Linked DNA regions of Drosophila melanogaster. The protein of the gene in region 2 interacts with the protein of the main gene of each other region in a pairwise test. Each region holds a gene or a part of one and is shown on either strand. Other genes may lie near its edges.

Region 1 (6,306 bases), 4.2 Mb from region 2:
TCTTTCACCCTAACCCCACCCCCCACCCAACACACACCCGACCGCATTTCCCCGCTTAGCTGGCGTTGATAAATGCACGGAGCATAAAAGTTTGAACAAACTACTTGAGTTTTTAGGCAAATTTTCGCCCCGAACTAGAACGTAAAACGTAGCCAACTACTTTCCACTTTACCTGGCGGCGTGCCACGCCTCCACCTATTGCCGTACCGCCCCACCGCCACGCCCACTACAAATCGCTGGGCCCATTAGAGGCTTGGCAAAAACGCCGCTAAATGCGACGTGAATTATTTAAGGCACGTGTGTTGTGCAAAATGCGGCAAATTCGACAGTGAAATGCATTTATTATTGAAGATATTGTCGGAGTCTGCGGGCGGATGAAAAATAAAAGGGGTGTTGGGTGCTGAGGATGTAAGATGAGGCGGCATCCTTTGGGCCAATTATGTGGGTGGCTCTTGGGCGAAACGAAAACGGGGCAGCTATACGTTTTGATAAACGTTTTACAGTTTGAGAACTTTTCTTTTCTGGGCTGGCACGTGATTGGAATTACGCGTGTTCCGCCCTTGGCCCTCAGCCAGAAATTTACACAAATCCACAAAACACTGGATGCCAGGAAGCCAGGATGGCAGGATGGCTGGATGGATGGTGGCTTTATGGGACGACTCCATGTGCGGCAATGTGTATGTGTGTGTGTATTTGAAACATGTTTGCCAGTTTGGCAATCGACAAATGTTGCACACACTGTGAGAATTAGCATAATTTAGTTTTCGCGCTCGGAGCGTTCTCGAATCTCGAATCCGTCGCATCGCATCACGATTATCGCAATTGATTGAGTGCAAAGCACTTCAGATGGAATAAATCTCCTTTCATTCGGAAATTACAATCGCATTTTTCTCGAAATTGATATTGATGAAATGTATACCACTCGGTTATATAACGTGAGTAGTATCCATTTCAGTTTCGCATTGAATGAGCCCTAATTTAATTTTAATTCATTAATCCTTCAGAAATACATGGAAGTTTCTAGACTACACAAATTGGAATATATATGCTAAGTGAATTTATTTCCAACCAAAATATACAAATTAAATATTATGTATATCTTAGTGATGTATTTATTTGCGGAGTAGTAGAAAATGGAATTACAAAAAGGTTTTTCAATAGTAGGGGCATGCGGTATAGCTAGTGATTTTACATCTGACGATTATTTTAGGGTCTTCAAATTGCACCTGAGAAGAAACCTATATCAAATCAAGAAAAAAAAACAAGTGAAATCTTGTTAATTTTGTTCAATTATATTGAAGTATTTGATCTAGTAAGTTAATATTAATTAGTGCCCAAAAAAAAAACAAAGTGGTGCAGGCTTTTTCTCAGGTGTGTCTAGGGCTTAACTGCCCCTATTTGCTCAGTCTTCAATTGGCAGCTGGCTCTCCGGCACCATGGACATGGAGAATCATCTCAAAGGGATCCCACTCGAGATCGGACTCGTGCTTGACCCGACGGCGAATGGGCTGCGAGTGCTGCGGATGGTGCATGGCCAAAGTCGGATGGTGTCCCTCCTGATGGTGGTGCTGCACCAATCCGATTGGCATGTCCTGGGCGTGCTCCACCAATCCTGCTGGCGGCTGTGGTGGACGGTAGTGGTGCAAGTGCTGTGACGGATGGTGCTGCGTCTGCTGGTGGTGCTGCTGCTCGCTAACGATCTCCTGGATCTGTTCGCGTGTCTGCTCCCTCTCATCGACCTTCTTTAGCAGAATTTCCCGCATGAAGGACATTCGATCGAAGTGTTCCCACGTGGAGCGGAAGGATTGGTGGGAGTATTGGGCGTGGCGCTCCTTCTGCAGTTCGTCTACGTAGCGCTGCTTGATGATTGACCAGCGCGTTTGCATAAGAGCTGCAAAGTATAAGATGTTTTGGGAGGGTTGGGGAACTTTTTATAATTCACATTCCTTTAAGCTACTTAAGCTTATTTTAATACCAATTCGTCAGGACATTAGTAACATCCTTTTAACACAATATTAAATTAGTTTGCTACATGCTATATATTTCGATGGATATAATCTACTTAGACGGGACTAACTTACTCGGTGTCAGACCCATCTCCATGGCCGCTTCCTTCCAAACCGCTGAGGTTCTACTCTGACCCTGTCCTTTCTCACTCCGCTGGCGCCCAGCCCACAACGATGGACGCGTCTTGATGGCATCGATGATACGTCCGCGCATGCTATTGTGCAACGAACTGGGGCGGCCCAACTTTCGCGGCGGCGTGGCCACCGTCTCTGAGGCCACAGTGGCCGGTGGAGGTACCAGCCCCGTGAAAGCGGTATATGTCATGCCATGACCTTGACTATGGGGCGGCTGAGTGATTAGATGCGGCAGTTGAGGGGCGGTGGGTGTGGTTGCGGTCTGCAGCCAGCTGAAGCTACCACTGGGTCGTCCGCGACCATGGGTGGCGGTGGGTAATGGCGGAGGCGCCACTGGGGCAGCAGGTTCCTCCCCCACAGTTGCTGCTTCAGTGGCTGTGGATGGGGCATCGGAGGAGGTGCCTCCGCCACTGCCGCCGCTCGACTGAGCGCCTACGATCTTTGCCACCGTAATGTTATACATGAAGGACATGGGCTCGAAGTGCTCCCACTTGGTGTTGAATCGATCCTTGTGGAGGATCTGGCGGTGGACCAAGTTGTGATAGTGGTACTTCATCTGGCTCCAGATCGATTGCAGCTTAACTGAAAATTATAAATAAATATGGTAAACATTTTCTTTTTTAAAGAATATTAATCGTGAATCGTGATTATTGAAACTTCCAAGAAATAGATATTTCAAATATTGAGATTATGGCTTAAGAGGCCTAAGAGTGCGAAGTTTAGTCTTTTCATTCATGAATATTGTAATATCTTGTGGCACGGTGCAGATAACTAAGCTTACATTAAGCCACCCAATTGCATTCATCAAAGTACATTCCACCCGTCAATTATTTCTACTGCGAGTGCTTCAATTTGCATTATATAGTGGCGTAGGCTCCTCTATTATTCCAAACGGACAGAAACCTTTACTTTCTATCCGAAATGCCCTTTGTCTAATTTTAGCCAAGTGCAGTGACGTAATTTAAGAAAATAATGAACCCTTTAGGAATATTGATTCAACGTAGATTTTTGTTATTGAGCAGTGAACTTTAAAATGTTCAGGTTGGACCAACTTACTTTAAATAAAGTGATTTTCAGCCCCCTTTCAAAAGCACATGCCTGCGCCACTGAATGCGCCTCGAAAGAGCTGGCGAAAGGAGAGTGCGAAAGGCAGCAACAAATGGCAACACTGCTAGCTAGCTGGCGAATGGAGCAGTGGCGTAGAGTGTGAGGGGTGCTTATGTCGGAAAGCGGAATGGTTCGTAGGGACGGGTACATTCTTGGTGGGCTCACCTGTCGGCACATGACCGCCGAACTGCTCGGCGATCTCTGTCCACATGGGCGATGTGACGCTGCGGCACATGTGCAGCTTGTTGTTGGAGTCCCAGATCTCCGGATATTTCTTGATCGCCTTCAAGAGCTGGGCTCGATTTACGAACGGATCCTCCTTGGGCATGGCCACAGCGAAACTGGTCACACTGGCACTGAATGATACCGTACCGCGGCAATGATTCCAAAGGCGATGTGAAACTGCGCCGGCGGAGCACAACTGCGTCCTTTGACATCAATTATCGGCGAATAACTGAAAGTAGAGTTTGCAAAAATATGCGAATTGAAAATGAAAAGGCACAGCGATTGAGGAAAATAGAGAAAACGATGACGGCGACGGCGACGCCAGCTTTTCGTTGTTGTTGCCCCGATGCCGAAGAGATTGGAAAGGCAGCGAAAGCGTACACGAGATGAGATACACAAAATGCAGGCGAGAAGAGAGAACAGGGAGAATGTGCAAAAAAAAAAAAAGACAGAAAAAGGAAAGAAGAGTCAGCAGCGACGACGTCAGTTTTACATACAAAAGTCTCCGCGTGTAGGTGCTTGTATCTGTGTGAGTGAGTAAGTGTGTAAGATGGCAGGGCGAAAAAGCAAAACAGACACAAGCAACAAGACCAAAGAGGAGACAGACAAAAAGCAACAACATAGCGCAGCAGCGGCAGAAGCAGCGAAGCTCAGAGCTGCAAAAACCGAAAAACAACAGAGAAGAAAAGCACTGAAAGAATAAGAGGAAGATGGAGGAGGCGGAAAAAAGCAGCGGGCAGGCTGCCCAAAAGAAAGGCAACGATAAACAAGCTACCTCTCTTTCATTGGGGGTCTCCTCTCTCTCCCTCTCTCTAACTTGGAGCCACCGAAAACGAGAGGGTGTTGTCGGGGAAGGGGTGAGTGGCGGACGAGCATTAGAAGCAGCGAAAAGCGAAACAAAAGAGCAGCGAAGAGTGCAGAGCAAAATGCAGGTCCGCAAAACGGAGAGCAGAGAAATCCACGATGACCGAAGTCGGTTGTTGGTCGAAGGGGCTGTGTGCGGGTGTGAGGGGGAGCAGCGAAAGAGAGAGGGAGGCAGGCAGAGGAGACCCGGAGTCCGAAGCCCGGCTGTCTAAACCGGAGACCCAGCAACAACAGCACCAACAACTGCAACAACCAGGGCAAACAACAACTGCATCACGAACACGCAACAAAGTGACGAAGCAACCGACGGACAGTGGGACGCATTGGAGCTGGCACAGTGGGGCCAACGACGGGTGGGGGATAGTAACGCGGCAGTAATGGTTTATCTGGCTAGAAAGTTGTTAAGAACCCCATCTTTAAGTATAAGAGTGAATACGGTTACAAGAGATTTAAAATGTCTATTAATCTTTATCAAAACAAATTCTACAAGCTTTAATTATATTTTATCGTGAAATATTCCATTTTTAACATTTTGGTCATAAAATATGATATGGCGCCATAAGATAGGCAACACATTTTTCGCTTATAAGGGGTAGATTACGTATACGTCCTGTTGTCTTTATTGCATTAGTAAAACTTATTTACATCTTGTTTTTTAATTTTCTGCTAACCACTTAAAATTTATAAAAATGTTAAATACAAATAACTTTAAATGTCACTCTTAAGTAAACTGGGCGTATACGTGATCACCTAATTGCATGCAGAAGATGGCACATTATCAAGAATAAATAAAAAAAAAAAAATGTTTAAATTTATATTCGCTGACTTATAAATTTACTTAGCCGTTTTTTCGCCAAACTGAGTTGGCATTGTGCAAAGAAGTGGCATCACTGGTGGGTGGACTGTTCGGTCGCTTGCTCGGGTTCGTCGTTGGTCGTTTTGGGCGCTGTGAGTGTGTTTGTGCGAGTGTACGTGCAATGAACCCGCAACTACAACTGCACACAACTGCAGCACGCACACTCGCACACCCGCCCACACACACGCACGCCGACTTCATTAGTATTGGCAACGATTCGTAGGCGCTGCAGCGCGCTGCGTTCATTTACTCAGTGCCCCAGACCCCGATGCCGAGCAGCGACCCACAGTGCTGCCCCCGACCACCCACCGCACACCTTGCCACACCACTTGGGCACCACCACCACCCGCCGCCTCACCCTACCCCCTTAGATATCCGCAATTCAGCGTGCGAGAACGAGACTGCAAAACAAACAAGATTCGGCATAAATCAGAGGTGGTCAACTATTTACATAGTGGGGATGTTTGTATTCGGGAGCGGATTTGTGTTACTTAAAATAAACCAAAGAGCACCAATTACAGCGATTTCAAAACTAACAAATAAAAAAACCAAGGGAAAGTTTGGGTTTAATGCTTACAACACTTTATTGGACCACTGCCAAATGGTTGATCAAAGAGTTACTGACCTATCGCATATAGAAACAAGTTTTTCTTATGAACAAACGCATGTTTTTTTAACTGACGCCCGAATAATATACAGCTTAAGATATGAATATTAACGCTTGAAATCAAATTGTTATGCTAAAACTATAAAAAGATCGTAAACTCGGTTTATGGACAAGACATTTAAGTACCCAATATTTACACGCTACTCGTTTTAAGACACCAATTAGAAACTTTGATATCGTAGCAAAAAAAAAAAAAAAATCAACCCCCACATGGCGATTAATTCGGGGTCATAAAAAAATTGAAATAGCTGAAAGAGCACACACACATTTAGTATGAAGATATATCATCTAAAAACATCGAAGATGAAAGTCACTCAAGAATCAATTCGATTAGTGCCAATTGCTGCGTATACGATGTACGACTGTACGAAATGGGCCCTATTTGCTGGCATAATTTAGCAATGAATTGGGGTCGGATTGGGGATGGGCCACTTATCCGTGCCACC
Region 2 (5,870 bases):
GCCTGGCTGTTATCCGAATCTGGTTTAAACGAATCCAGCTACAAAGTCCGTCATCTATCGATGCACTTTTCGCGAGTGTTTCTCAGCGTAAATGTAGAAAGCAACGATGCGCCCACTTTGATCGAGGCGCAATGGCCGGTTTCCTATTTTCCCATGCCCACTGTCGTCTTTCCCCACATCGATGTTCATTCCATGGGGGATCATGATGATTGCTCTCTGGTACAACAGGCACACTGGTCCCAGGTGGATGCACTGAGTCGACTGTGGGTCATGGACATCGGATTTCCCGGCAGCACGTGCTCACCCCGTTTGTTTGTCTTCGATCTGATGCGTAACAACGCGGAGCTATTGAGAATCGATTGTGGACACCATATAGGTGCTAATGACACCCACTTTCTGACTGTCCAAATGGGACCCAAGAGTCCGGGATGCGAGCACGAGCGCCATATTTACTTCATCCTTGGAAAGGTACCAGAAATTCTAGCCTACGACATCCTGGAGCAGACGTGGCACCGCCTATCCTTGGAGAGCAATAAGTACGAGAATATGAATCAATCGTTTCCCATCAAGCCAGTGGATTTCATCTTCGGAATTCAAGGGGAACTCATACTCTCCGACCAGGATGGTGATCTATACAGTACGGTGGACAGACTGGAAATTGAAGGCAAAAGCGAATTAGCAAGCAAACCAATTAACAATAGCATTAAACTCACACATTTGGGCAGTCTTCTGGGCAGCAGTCGCAGCATGATCATCGACAATTTCGGAACATTGTACTATGTTATCCCCAAATTCGGAGCTGTCGTACGATGTGCCAAACTAGCCAACATCACAGCCGAGGGCAACGAAATCATATATATCACATCGAAGAACATTCAGCAGATTTTCTTCACCTCCAATGATGCATTATGGGTCCTAAGTGATCGGGTCTTGAATGCGAAGGACATGTGCTTTCCTAGCTTATAACATTTAGTTTGTTAATATAAATATTAAAATTATATTTTACTTGATTCAAACACTGCTGGCCTGGTGTATATGCTGCTTTCTTTATTATTCGTTTCATCTAGCTTGGTGATGTATTTCGTTTGGTTTGATAATAATGCTATGAATAGTTAATAGACCAAAAAACAATTTAATTAATGGCTAACAGTTTGCTTATTCAGATAAGCCATTAAGGCCTGGAGCCGCTTCTTGATGTTCTTCTGATCGTCCAGAGTGCAGCCAAGCAAAACGCTCTCGAACTTCTTGTCGACCGGCCCAACATCGGCCTCGGGCACGGTGTCCATGTGTCCGGATGGATCCATTGAGCTGCTGCAGCAGGCGTTTAAGTAAAACTGGCATCGTTGGCGTCCGATCACGGGATCACCCATCTTGATCATGCTGTCAATCAATACATTTATCTGGCTAAGGGAATCCTCCTGAGAGTTGTCCCGAACAGTGCGCACACGCAGCTCCACGGTGGCCAAGCGAGAGCTCACCCGTTGTAGGTACAAAATGATCTCCTCTCGTTCAGCTGCAAAAGAAGGTGGTACAACATTAGCTCACAGTCAACTATGAATAACCCTTTACTTAGTTTGTCATCAGAAACCATTACTTCCGACTTCGAAATAATACACATTTTAGTAAAGCTATGAACAATGAGGGTTCAAATTAGTTTTAAGAATCACTGTCACTTACCTTCGCTCATGTTCTGCATCATTTCGTTGCTCTTGATCAGATCCATGGACATCAGAAGGTAGTCTTTCTTCTCCTGCAGGTTGAGTGCATCCTTGCGCAGCTTCTCCACACGTGCATCCAAACTATCCAGTATGGTGACAAATCTGCGAGTCACTCAAAGGTTAGTCACGCTCAGTGGTTATTATAAATTCAAGATTTACCTCTCGCTGGCGTTAAATGGTCTGTCACATGTCGGTTAAGTGTGATTGCGGTTCAGTGGTTAAGTCATGAAACGAGACAAGCAACGTTAGATTGTTAGATCGCTCTGCTACAGATCGACTGACCACTTATAGAGCTACGAAATTATAACCAGAATATGTCTACAAGAAAAGGCGCTCGCACACAAAGCTCTTTTGAGAGTTGTGTGGGCGTTCGCGGCAGATACTTTAAGCTATCACCATTACTATTATGGAACAAAAGATTCGAATGAAGCTGGTAGCTGGTAGTGTGAAGAAATAATAGATAAGAAACGTATAACTTTTGTTTCGCTACGAGGTTGTGTGAATATAATCGGTGGTATTGTTTTGGTTTCGTGTCTGATTTGGTTTTAGTTATGATGGAATAACAACCTGTCCAGAGCTCTACTATCGTCGACGAGTCCGTAGGAGCTGTTCCCGCCATTGCCACCACCTCCGGATCCGGATGGGGATGAGGAGGCCATGGCATCGGCCCTCAGGTCTTGCAAATGATCAAAATTCATGGATGCCTCCGAGTGGTAATCGCTGGGCGAGATCTGATGCAGCTGCTGGTGATAAGTACTATGGTGATGATGATGAGTGTCACTGGTTTCCTGCGTTGTTGGCGCATCAACTTCCATATCCTGCGGCTGCTCCAGATTTGATTTAAACCTGTCGCCCTCCAAAAAGCCGGTCAAGTGTTTGTCACCCAAGATGGTTGGATAGCTGCCTACTGTTTCGTTTTGGGTTTTGGTTTTATCTTATTTATTTTTTTTTAGCCGCTTTGCTGGCTACTTTTTTTGGAATGTCTTAAGCTTTTTTTTTCGAGTGGGTGTCGAAGTGTTTGATGCTGTTGCTTAAGCTTAATTTTATCTGTTTTTGCTTTGAAGCTGCAATAAGAGAGAAGAGGAAGCGTGAATGCGCAGAATTCAATTACCTATCTGAATGTGGGCTGTGAAAAGAGCCTTCGGTCCAGGAGGCGTCAAAGCCATCATTGGACTCGGGCGTATCGGCTTCTATATCTTCCGGATATCGGTTTATTATCTCCGCCTCCTGGGCGGGTTGCGGCGGCGGTGGCGGCGGTGTTGTGTCCGACTCGCAGCGACGCCGTTTCCGAAAAATACCTCGAAAATTCTCAAACATTCTCGGCTGAAATCACCAATTTTCTAGAAGATTACGCCTAATTCTTCTTCTTTTCTTGTGGCAACCGATGTCTAGGAGAATCCCCGGGTGGCTGTTTTGAACTTGAATAAATTACCTGCCGCCCGAGACTTGAGGCTCCGGTTTTAATGCACCTTTGGCCCGATGCAAAAATATTGTTGATTTTTCGAGTTGGGCAGTTTGAGTTAGATGACGGGAAATGCTTGTGTTTCCAGATAATTCGTAGACACCGATTAATCTAACTTTGTTAGCTTCATTTTTGAGCACCTGGGTTGTTTACTTCGAGGGTCAATCGAATATTTCGCTTTACTTAAATGAAGATAAGTATAAATATGATTAATTTAACATTATATTGTGGGATTTGTATGACCGTGTCTGACTACCGCAAAAAAGAACAGTGGCCATATAGTCAACTTTATCGAAACCGATTCATCGAACATTGTTGTCGAAAGTTAGTGTGTACACACATTAGTTCTGGTTTTCATCTGTAATCGGCGGGAGTTTTAAAAGTAGTAGTACTTTTAAAAGAAACCTCTCTAAAAGCATTTGGTATCTCCCAAAGTTCAAAAAATTGTATGCTACATATATTAAAACTTCTATTTTATTAGTGGTGCCAAATTTAAATCTCGCACACACTGAGCCGTGCGCGACCATTGACAACTTTTGGTGGCAATATCGAAGAAGTAATAGAAAGGACATTGCTGCAGGCTGGCGTGTCCTTTGACGCAGTAGATAAAGAACTCGCATCGCTGCATATGGGGATACAGATGCTGTCCGTAGGCGGGGCAGTGAATGAGATCACTCGAAATGGCGGTGCCACCGGATGGGAAACCGGAATTTCCATTCGTTGGCATATCCTCCTGACCACCTACGGTGCACTGGGCTCTCTCCGGAATATCGCATTTACCCGTCATTGCATTCCAGTGCAATTGCGAGCTGCACTCCTGCAAGATCGCCTGTCCATAGTAGCAAATATAGTACTTTCTGCAACTACTCGAGCTGCCGACATATACAATCCTGTCGCTGGATTGTTGTTGCTCCACCAACGTGGAGCAATAAGTGGCGGCATCCGTGACCATGTTATTCGGATCTCCATCACCATTTCCGCCATCGAATGGAGGAGTCTCTATGGGATCCGTTTCATTTCTGCACTTTACATTTGTCGCCGAATCGCAGAGTCTGCTCTCCGAATTGAAGAGCATCGTTGGTGGGCAGGAAGCCAGGACTGCATCCCCGTTCTCAACGCACAGGTAAAACATGTGGCAGTCCTCCGCATGCTCCACAAACTCACCAACCAAATGATTGGCACATATTCTACTACCACTCTGCCTGATGGTCACCGAGTTTGTGGGCTTCGATGGTCTCCAGGTTAATTGCGCTGTGGCCAGCAAGCAGTTCACGATCAAATAGAAAGCTGGAAACCAATAAATTCTCATCATACTATTAGTTTTGAGAATATCCATCTTACTAACCCGTATTAAGCATCATCGTTTTTTCTATCGTCAGACTCCAGTAGAGCGCAGTTATATTCTAATTTCGTAATGCCCGGTGAACTTGGCATATATGTGATACATTCGGCGCCAAGATACAGCCGCATATGTGGCTCAGTATCAGAAAATTAACATTTTCAATTGCTTGTAGGAAGAAGTTGATAAGACTCCTGTATTTTGTTTTGCCAAAAAAGAAATATGGCTCCCTTTCCTCGCAATCAATCGATATCGTATCTCGAAATGGCAAGCAGATACAACTTTAATGCTGGATTTTTAATTTTAAAGTCTGGTGAAAAGGAAGCCGAGATTAGCTAGGAAATTGATTAGGTGATATCACGATGACATATGTTGTCCTTGTGAGGAAAATCGTATCATATCGGTCAAATTACTATGTTTCAAATCGAAGGTTGGCCTATTTTGGCAAATGTTTCGATTCAAGGTCTTCATTTTGCAGAGATATGAAAGAATTGCTTGATATCACCTGATAAATTTAGGAAAGAGTCAAGGTCGGCCGTGTTGCTTGATAGTTTTACAAAGAAGTCTTATTGATTACCAGTATTTAGGTTTATTCCATATGTAAACATACAACACTTTATGTTCAATATTTTCAATTTTTCCACAAAGCTCGTTAATTAACTAAATGTAAAATTTCGTTTTTTTTTTTTAATAAATATTATTATGTGTATTTAATAAATTTTCATTTGCATTTGCAGCTTGTTGTAGCATTTGGCTTGACCTAGTGCTACACAGGATCGCTTCTCGTAGTCCCATCCGTAGAAGAAAGGACACTGCTGGACCATCAAATAGCCAGAGCGACACTGGTAAAAGTAATTGCAGTTGTCGGAATGCGGATAAACATCGATTACATGTCGCTTGCACTGCTCCCTGGGATTATAAGTCATGGCCTGTAAATAAATAATTTATTATACAAAAATTATAAGATATGAAGTACCATAGGTTAACCCACCAAACACCTAACGTTTTCGGGATGATCGCATTTTCCGGTGAGTGAATTAAAGTGCAAACTGGTGGCACAACTCATGGGAAGTGCCACACCGCGATAGCAAATGTAATAATCTGAACAGGAGTTCTGATTTGGCAGCAATGCGATACGACTCTGATTATCCAGTTGTGGGCACACATTGGTCACAATAATCTCTATAGCAGGCGATACGGAAGTCGTACTGCTGGCTCCACTTTGATTGACTGATGGTCGTAATGTGACCACTGCCGATGGGGCTAATGTGGTGATTACAACTGTGGAAATCGTACTGGACTCCGAGGTAATCTCCGTTGAGGAGCTGTCGGTAGTGTTTTCCCTTTGCAC
Region 3 (7,524 bases), on a different chromosome or scaffold from region 2:
CTTGGATCACTTGTGGAAACGACGACTCGAACCCACTGCCAAATCGACCACGTCGTTGTTGACAGGGGACTTTGCACCTCTTGACTTCCGGCACATCGGCGTAGTCAGCTGGGGGCAGTATTCATTTAGAGCCACTGCCTTATGGGGCTACTGTCCTGCTCAGTCGCCGGTCTGCTTTCTTGCTGGTTGCAGCAGTTGCAGTTGCAGTTCTCTTTCTGCAGATAAATGCCCACATAGTAATCCCTGGGATTCGCCCCCAGCACCTTGAAACCAACGGGCCATGCCCAGGGGCCTTCAATTATTATATTCGATCAGCAAAGCCATAATCAGTGGGAGCAGGTTGAAAAACTACAACCGAAGTCGGGTTTCGCGAGCGAACTCTCAAGCGGCATAAGCACCCAGTTTTAAGAAGCGATGATCCTATTCCGATCCTGATCCGACAAGCTCCCGCAGCCGTTCCTGGGACTTTTGGATGCGAAATCAGCAGTTTGAAGGTCCTCGATACATTTTGGGGAAAAGTGGTAGGTTTTGCAATTGTGCAGAGCTAAACTTTGCGAATTACTAAATCAATGTTTTCTGCTCTCATTTCTTAAAACGTACAATATTATTTCCTACGATATACTATATTAGTATTTAAATTATGTTTCTCATTCTCTAGCACCAATTATTCTATTGCTTTACCTATTCCATATTAATCAGTTGAGCTAATCTTACGGTATAGATTAGATTCCCACATATTTAATTTAATAAATTTGCAACAGCAAATACTTGTTTTTTAATTGTTTTTTTTATTTTCACATCTACTGGCATGCCAAGGTCATCGGCGGCCTTTCGCACTTTGTTTGGCGGACATTCCAAACTGGTTAGCGGTAGAAAGCCATATTTCCCATTTGAATTTACTAGTAGGCGGGCGACAACATGGGCTCCCCAGCCAAACCGCGGAGCACATTATGGGCAGCAATGGTGGACATGTCGGCACGGGTGCGCTTCGTGGCGGATCCAATATGGGGCAGGACAACTAAAAGAACACATCAAGTGGTTAGTTCAAGATACGATTACACAAACCAAGATAACAATGTTTTAATAAATCAACAAAAGAAGGGAATTATAGAGGTCAACAAGGACGCAGAAATTAGATAAAACATGGAAAGAATAAACGTTACCCTATTTATTTGTAACCTTCAAGAAACCTTAAAGATTCCATTAATTTCAAAATACTTTTAGTCATTGTCAACCACTGAAGAGATAAGTCAAAATCTTTATATTGATAAGGGGCCAGAAATACGAGTATTTGCTAGGTGTGGGCCTGAGGACTGATATCAATAAACTACAACATTATTTTCATTTTCCCACTCACCAACATTGTCAAGCGTCAGCAGCTTGTCCTTGGGCGACAATGGTTCCGGATCCGTGACGTCGAGTCCGGCGGAAAAGATTCGGTTGGCTTTCAAAGCCTCGTAGAGGTCATCCTGGTTGACGATTTCTGAGGAATAAAATAAATAGTTAAAATCGGTCGAGAATCCCAATTAATACTGGTAACTTACTGCCCCTGGCAATGTTAACCAGCACAGCAGTCTGCTTCATCTTGTTGAAGGCGGTGGCATTAAAGACGCCCTGTGTGTCCTTCGTCAAAGGAGAAGCGATCACTACGAAGTCACTCTCGGCCAGAAGGGTATCGAAGTCAACTTTCTTGGCATTGAACTCCTCCTCGATCTCCTTGTGAACACGACGACGGGTGGTGTACAGCACCTTGTCAATGTCGAATCCAGACAAACGCTTGGCAATAGCCTGACCAATGCCTCCAAAGCCGTAGAATCCCACGGTGGAATCACGAATATCCTGGCCCAACAGCCAGTTAAGATGGTAGTTTTCCCACTTGTCACTTTTAGAACGCAAAAGATACAAATTAAGAAATTGAAAGATATATGAATATTTCCAAAATATATAATATACTTGTAGATACTCGAGATACTGATAAATGCCTGTTACTAAGCTAAGATGAAGATAAAAAAAACTTTTTTTTATTGCACCGCCACCTAGCGGCGGTTACATAAACTGCTCGTACCTTTTGTTTGTAGATAAATCGAAAGTCAATACTTTAGAATTTTACATTATGCATGTGAGGAGCCAAAACCTATTGATGATAATGCTTTGTCCACTTGTGAGCGCTATAGAGCAAAAGTGCAAGCGACAGACGAGCGGACAGGCGGTATTCTTAAGAACCGGCTTGCAATTTTAATCGAGAATTCATGCGTATACATTTCACGGCCACACTAAGTTGAAAATAAAGTGTCCCTAGTTTAGCTTAATTATAATAATAATTATGACAATTATAATTTCGGTTTACTCTATTTTTGTCATTGCTCAAATTAATTCTGTAAGTATATGAATCATCACAAACACAACTAACCAACTAGTGGTACTCACTTGTCGATGGTCTTGCGACCCTCGTGAAAACGGCGACTGGCGGCGATCAGGAGACCCACTGCCAAATCGGCCACGGCGGTGTTGAGAACGGTGGGCGTGTGTCCCAGCGGGATCTTACGTCTCTTTACCTCCGGCACATCGACGTAGTCGATTCCCGCCGACATGGTGGAGATGGATTTCAGCTGGGGACCGGCAGCATCGAGGGCCTCGGCATTGAGGGGTTCGTGTCCACCCCAGAGAACGCCATCCACGCCACGGATTTTCTCCAGCAGCTCCGCCCGGTTGATGGGAACACTCTGCACCTGGACGATCTCGCAGTTCTCCTTCAGCAGATCAATGCCCTCCTGGGGAACCTCGGGATGTGTCACCAGGACCTTGAAAGCCTTGCCAGCGGACATGGTGCGATTCTGGCTTTGATTTCTGCTGCCCCTGCGTGGGAGGGAGGCATTACTACCGGCGATCAGCAAGGCCACAATCAGTGGCAGCAGGGAGTTGGTGGCAATCGATCTCATCTCGAAGTATTGCGATCGAAGTCGTGTTTCGCGAGCGACTGAACTCTCAAGCGGCATACGCACCCAGCTTTAAGGAGCGGCGAGAACGGAAAGCCGCTGATCCGACTGCTCCGACCCACGATCGCAGCCGATAAACCAATGAACCTGTTTAGCATTATAATCCGCGCTCTAAATCTCTCCCTATATATGTATGTACGTATGTATGTATGTCTGTAGGCGTTCAAGCCGCCGAGCAGCTGATGTGAGTCTCAGTCTCTCCTACGGCGTATGTATAAGACGCACAACTGGTTTGCTGGTTCGAGAACTAAGGTATAATATTGGAGTTTTATCGAAGTGGATTCAATAATCAGGAACGGTGCAAGATTATTTCTGGGTTAATAACAATAACATTTGGCAAAAATAAACATTCTAAAATTAAGTTTAATTTTACTTAACATGTGGAGCGTAATGAAAAAATTACGAAACATAGATGAATTTATCAAAGACTAAGAGCCAATTATTTTGGCTAAAAAACAGAGACAATTATTTCAGTGGAAATACGATTATATACTGCGGTCAATAATTTCGAGTAGCTAAAATACATCTATCTCCCATGTTTTTTAAAGTACTTAAATTTCGCGGTTATACGGTCGCTATCTCCGCACAGACGCACGAGATTTTTATGGCGAAATTCCGCGAGCAAAAACTTTCAGATATGTTCGCATCTAATCATTTTTCCACGACTCATTCCACTCAACACTTTTGACAATTTGATGGTTTTTTAGCATTGTTTGTTTGTTTGTGGGAGGGAATGGAAAAACCCACAGTAATATTTTGATATTAATTACACTCAATGTCACCAAAGAACAAACCGTCACTCTTAAAAACTCTCTTAACCAAACTGTTTACGACACCAAATGTCACAAGAGAACTACTTTATTATATTATTATTAATTTGTTCTTTACACTATGCTACACTCTGCCTCCAAACGCACCCGACGTGAAAATTTAACTAAAACTTTTTTCCATTGGCTATGCAATAAAAGCTCGCAATCCGATTTCATTTTTATGTTCTCTTATTTAGACTTTATACTTTCTCTTACCGTGAGATCTATAGAACTAGAATACTTTTCAGCTTTGCGTTTGCCGCACGACTGAAGTATTGGCCCCAAAGCTTAAGCCTTATATAGAACTCATATCGTATCGCAAATGAATTATCAATTCCCAAAAAAGAGTTAATACGAGAGTAATTTTCAACATATTAATTCGGTTTACATTTTATGGAATGGTGCACAGATATTTTTGAAGTCAATTGTATAAATTCGTTAAAATAAAATAACATATATGAAATATTTAAAACAATATGCGATCTAACAAACTTTTATTATCGTAAAAATACACCCCTTAAAGGCCGGAAACTCACTAAAATCTCAGTTAAAAATGTAGTTCACTCTTTAACATAATATTGGGGTTATATCAACCAGATTCCAGTACTATCAGCGATCAGCGATTCCCCCTCCGATTAGACCATCATTGGGCATCCCTTTCTGTCGTTGCACACTGCGCTTTGCCGCTACCATCAGTCCGTCCCTTTCCAGCTGCTTATCTCGAAAGGCTCCTTATCGGTGCGAACGAGACAGAGACGGAACTCTTTGGGAGAGTGAGCAGTTGGGAAAGCTGTGCGCCTGCTCGAAATACCAGTTGGGGACTTTTCCCATGTGCTCGCATGCAATTTCCAACTGGAATGGGCACCACCGCAGTTGGAGCCACCGGAGCAGTGGAGCCATTTGGCCATTTAGCCGTGGTGCCATGGAGCCAAAGCACTGCAGTCGGTTGGAACGTGGAACCTACACGACCAGCACTATTTCGCAGTTAAGTACGTTTTTTTGTGAGCGGATCTGCTCAAATTTTGTCCGCAGAACAGCAGGCGCACAGCGTTGGCCAACGCACACTGCGCTTTTTCGTCTGTGTGAAAGCGGCGGCAAGAACCGTTCGCGTTGGCGTTAGCGTCGCTGGCAGTGATGCGCGAATTAACTAGCTAGAACTTCCGACAAAAGGCACAGAAACTTAAAACAAAATACTAAATTACTTTACGTCTACGTGTAAGGAGTAATCAAATATTTTACTGGTTAGAACTGAATATATTCATAGACATGATAATACATATACATATTTATAAGATATTCCAAATGTTAAAAACAATAAAATTATTGATATTGTTACTATACGAAAATTGACTAATCTAAATTTTACTGATTTACGATTTAAGTATAGAACTATTTTAACATAGTTTTAACCATAATACCGCTCTAGTGAAATATCGAAACGGACAGTTTGGCTTTTTGTTTGCCTAGATTGGCTTCACTGAAAGTTGTGCACTTCCTCTTACCTTTGAGATTTGGCCCAGACACTGCACTCTGCCTAATTGAAAGCGAAACGAAAAACCAACAAAATATTAGCGCTTTGTGCGAGGGTGGATTTTTTTGTTGTCGTGACGCGGCGCAGCGTCTGTGCCTGCTTTTTCTTCGTCCCCCACAACGGTTTACACATTTTCTTCGTGCCTTGTTCTTTTGTTTCGCGGCCATTGTGCAGCAGAGTGCCGCACATTGGTGCTCTTCTCGCTTTTATGCTTTCCTGTTACCAAAACACGATGCGTCATTTTGACTGACGTAACCGGAGACAACATTCCAATTGGAGACAGCTGTCTATCAGACGCGACCGTCGTCGTCGTTACGTCTGCTGCCGCCGGCATTGCCAGCGCTAAACTGCGGTTTGGTGAACAAGTAATCAGCAACTGATGACAGCAGACAGACGCCAACGAGAGTGTGTGCGGCGGACAGAGAAGAGAAAATGCGGAGAGATAGAGATAGTGGAGGCGGACAGTGAAAGACGGGGTATAACGGAAAAAATGGAATTTGAGAAGCGCATCTCTCGATCTCTCCACTGAACATATGAAAATACAATGTACATATGTACATATGTATGTAAATAATATTTATAAGTTGGGATATTAGAAAGCCTAACACTAGGTCTTCGTTTTAGGCTAATAAATTACTACAGTTTCGATATAATCGGAAACTGAAAATGAAAACGTTTACTTAGTTCAGTTCCCAACTAAGAACAAAGTGGGCATACTTTTAGGCACTTCTAAGCACTATTCCTGATAATGCTTAATGCAATAAAAGTTAATGTGTCACCAAAAATACACATTGTAGTACTTGTTCACATTTCTTAAAAAGTAATTTACAAACATTTTAACTTAGAACTTAGAACCTTGCTAATTGCATTCACAAGGTAAGATTGGGATTGCCTTCGCACAGCACTCAGCGGGTTAAAGTCAACTGTCAAGGGCAAGTTGCAGACACCTAAGCAGCATCCACAAACATATCCGTACTGCTTGCGCCGCATTCTGCTTGCTTCATATTTGGCGACACCAGCAGCGGGAATCGCAAATGGCGGCCGAGCGACAAAGCTGCAAAGCGAGGCGTCGCGCACTCCGCGCAGGCGCTTTTGGAGCGCCCAACTCCACTCAACGGCCTGTCGAGAAGGCCAAGATGAAAAAAAAGTGGGACGTGCCGGGCCACAAAAAAAGTGGCCAACCGTCACCGATTTTTATGGTGTAGGCTCCCTAAAATTGACGCGCAACATTGAGGCAGGTCCCTCTACGCGATATAACGGAACAGGCGCCCAGAGTCGCCAGCAGCGAGATAACCCGACGGAAGACAAAAAGCGAGAGCGAGCTGTGTCTGTGTGTCTGCGCGTGTGGTGGTGGGCCCCAAGTCGATGGCGGTGCCTACACACGGCACAGCTCTATGAATATAACGAGCACGAGAGCGGGAGCGGGAGTGAGCTCCACCACGAGCTCTAGAAGAGAGAGAGACAAGTAGAGTTGGTGAGCGTGGGAGTTGATGTGCACTTGCATATGTGCAAGTACAGTGCGTCCTCTGTAACAGTAAGCACTAAACTGAAAAGAGACTAGCAAACTAGTAAAGTACCACTGTAGTCATTCCCCAGATTTCAGTTGCTCATGGAAGTGTGTACTTGTGTATATACATATATACCAACATACTTAGGTAGCTAATCCAGCTCTGTTGGCTTTGTAATGATGTTAACATTGACTGACGTCAGGCACGGGTCTTAATTTACATGTCTCTGCTGCTTGGTTTTTGTGTTGCAGCAGTCCCCGTTGCTTACCACACATGATAATTATGGGAATGCAAGTGTTTTGTTTTCGCTGCACTTGCTTGCGGTTAAGAATTGGGAACACGTCCAGGGTCACTGCAGAGGGGTGGGGGGGGGTGGGGTGTTAAATTGACCCATGCTCGCGGCATATGTACATACATATGTATGTTTCTTAAGCTCAAACAAAAAACCTGTTTTTGCGTTGGGCACCTTTTTATTCGATTTGGTGGAAGTCTAGACCATATTGTGTTTCAATGTTTATATTTTACTATGGGGCTTCGCACTCAATCTTGATTATTCTTATTTCACTGAAGAAAGTATTGTCCACAATTTTGATGTACGCTACACACGATAGTTGTGATGCTAGGTATTTCTGGTATTTAAAAATGTAATGCAGAGCACTGCATAGTTTGTCGGTCAAAAG

Evidence for each region. Proteins that work in one complex are often made in the same cells at the same time.
Region 1: the proteins of CG7945 (region 2) and CG6163 interact in a two-hybrid assay, tested with the Drosophila melanogaster proteins (one large-scale study listed by BioGRID).
Region 3: the proteins of CG7945 (region 2) and CG9331 interact in a two-hybrid assay, tested with the Drosophila melanogaster proteins (one large-scale study listed by BioGRID).

Annotation. Positions count from the first base shown.
Region 1 is NT_037436.4:11,361,196-11,367,501, forward strand, and holds CG6163 (uncharacterized protein), read right to left. Parts: upstream 3,691-6,306; 5' UTR 3,577-3,690; coding exon 3,414-3,576; intron 2,724-3,413; coding exon 2,082-2,723; intron 1,892-2,081; coding exon 1,410-1,891; 3' UTR 791-1,409; downstream 1-790.
Region 2 is NT_037436.4:15,520,683-15,526,552, forward strand, and holds CG7945 (uncharacterized protein), read right to left. Parts: upstream 3,456-5,870; 5' UTR 3,151-3,455; exon of another isoform or gene 3,036-3,150; coding exon of another isoform or gene 2,830-3,035; intron 2,783-2,829; 5' UTR 2,534-2,782; coding exon 2,286-2,533; intron 1,899-2,285; coding exon 1,878-1,898; intron 1,821-1,877; coding exon 1,678-1,820; intron 1,514-1,677; coding exon 1,137-1,513; 3' UTR 1,029-1,136; downstream 1-1,028. Other genes in the region: yellow-k, read left to right, coding at 1-966; CG33986 (uncharacterized protein), read right to left, coding at 3,650-4,467, 4,526-4,541; CG33985 (uncharacterized protein), read right to left, coding at 5,230-5,448, 5,511-5,870.
Region 3 is NT_033779.5:20,820,991-20,828,514, reverse strand, and holds CG9331 (uncharacterized protein), read right to left. Parts: upstream 4,874-7,524; 5' UTR 4,400-4,873; intron 4,082-4,399; exon of another isoform or gene 3,791-4,081; intron 3,244-3,790; 5' UTR 3,095-3,243; coding exon 3,003-3,094; exon of another isoform or gene 2,940-3,002; coding exon of another isoform or gene 2,848-2,939; coding exon 2,428-2,847; intron 1,883-2,427; coding exon 1,545-1,882; intron 1,484-1,544; coding exon 1,358-1,483; intron 1,019-1,357; coding exon 900-1,018; 3' UTR 791-899; downstream 1-790.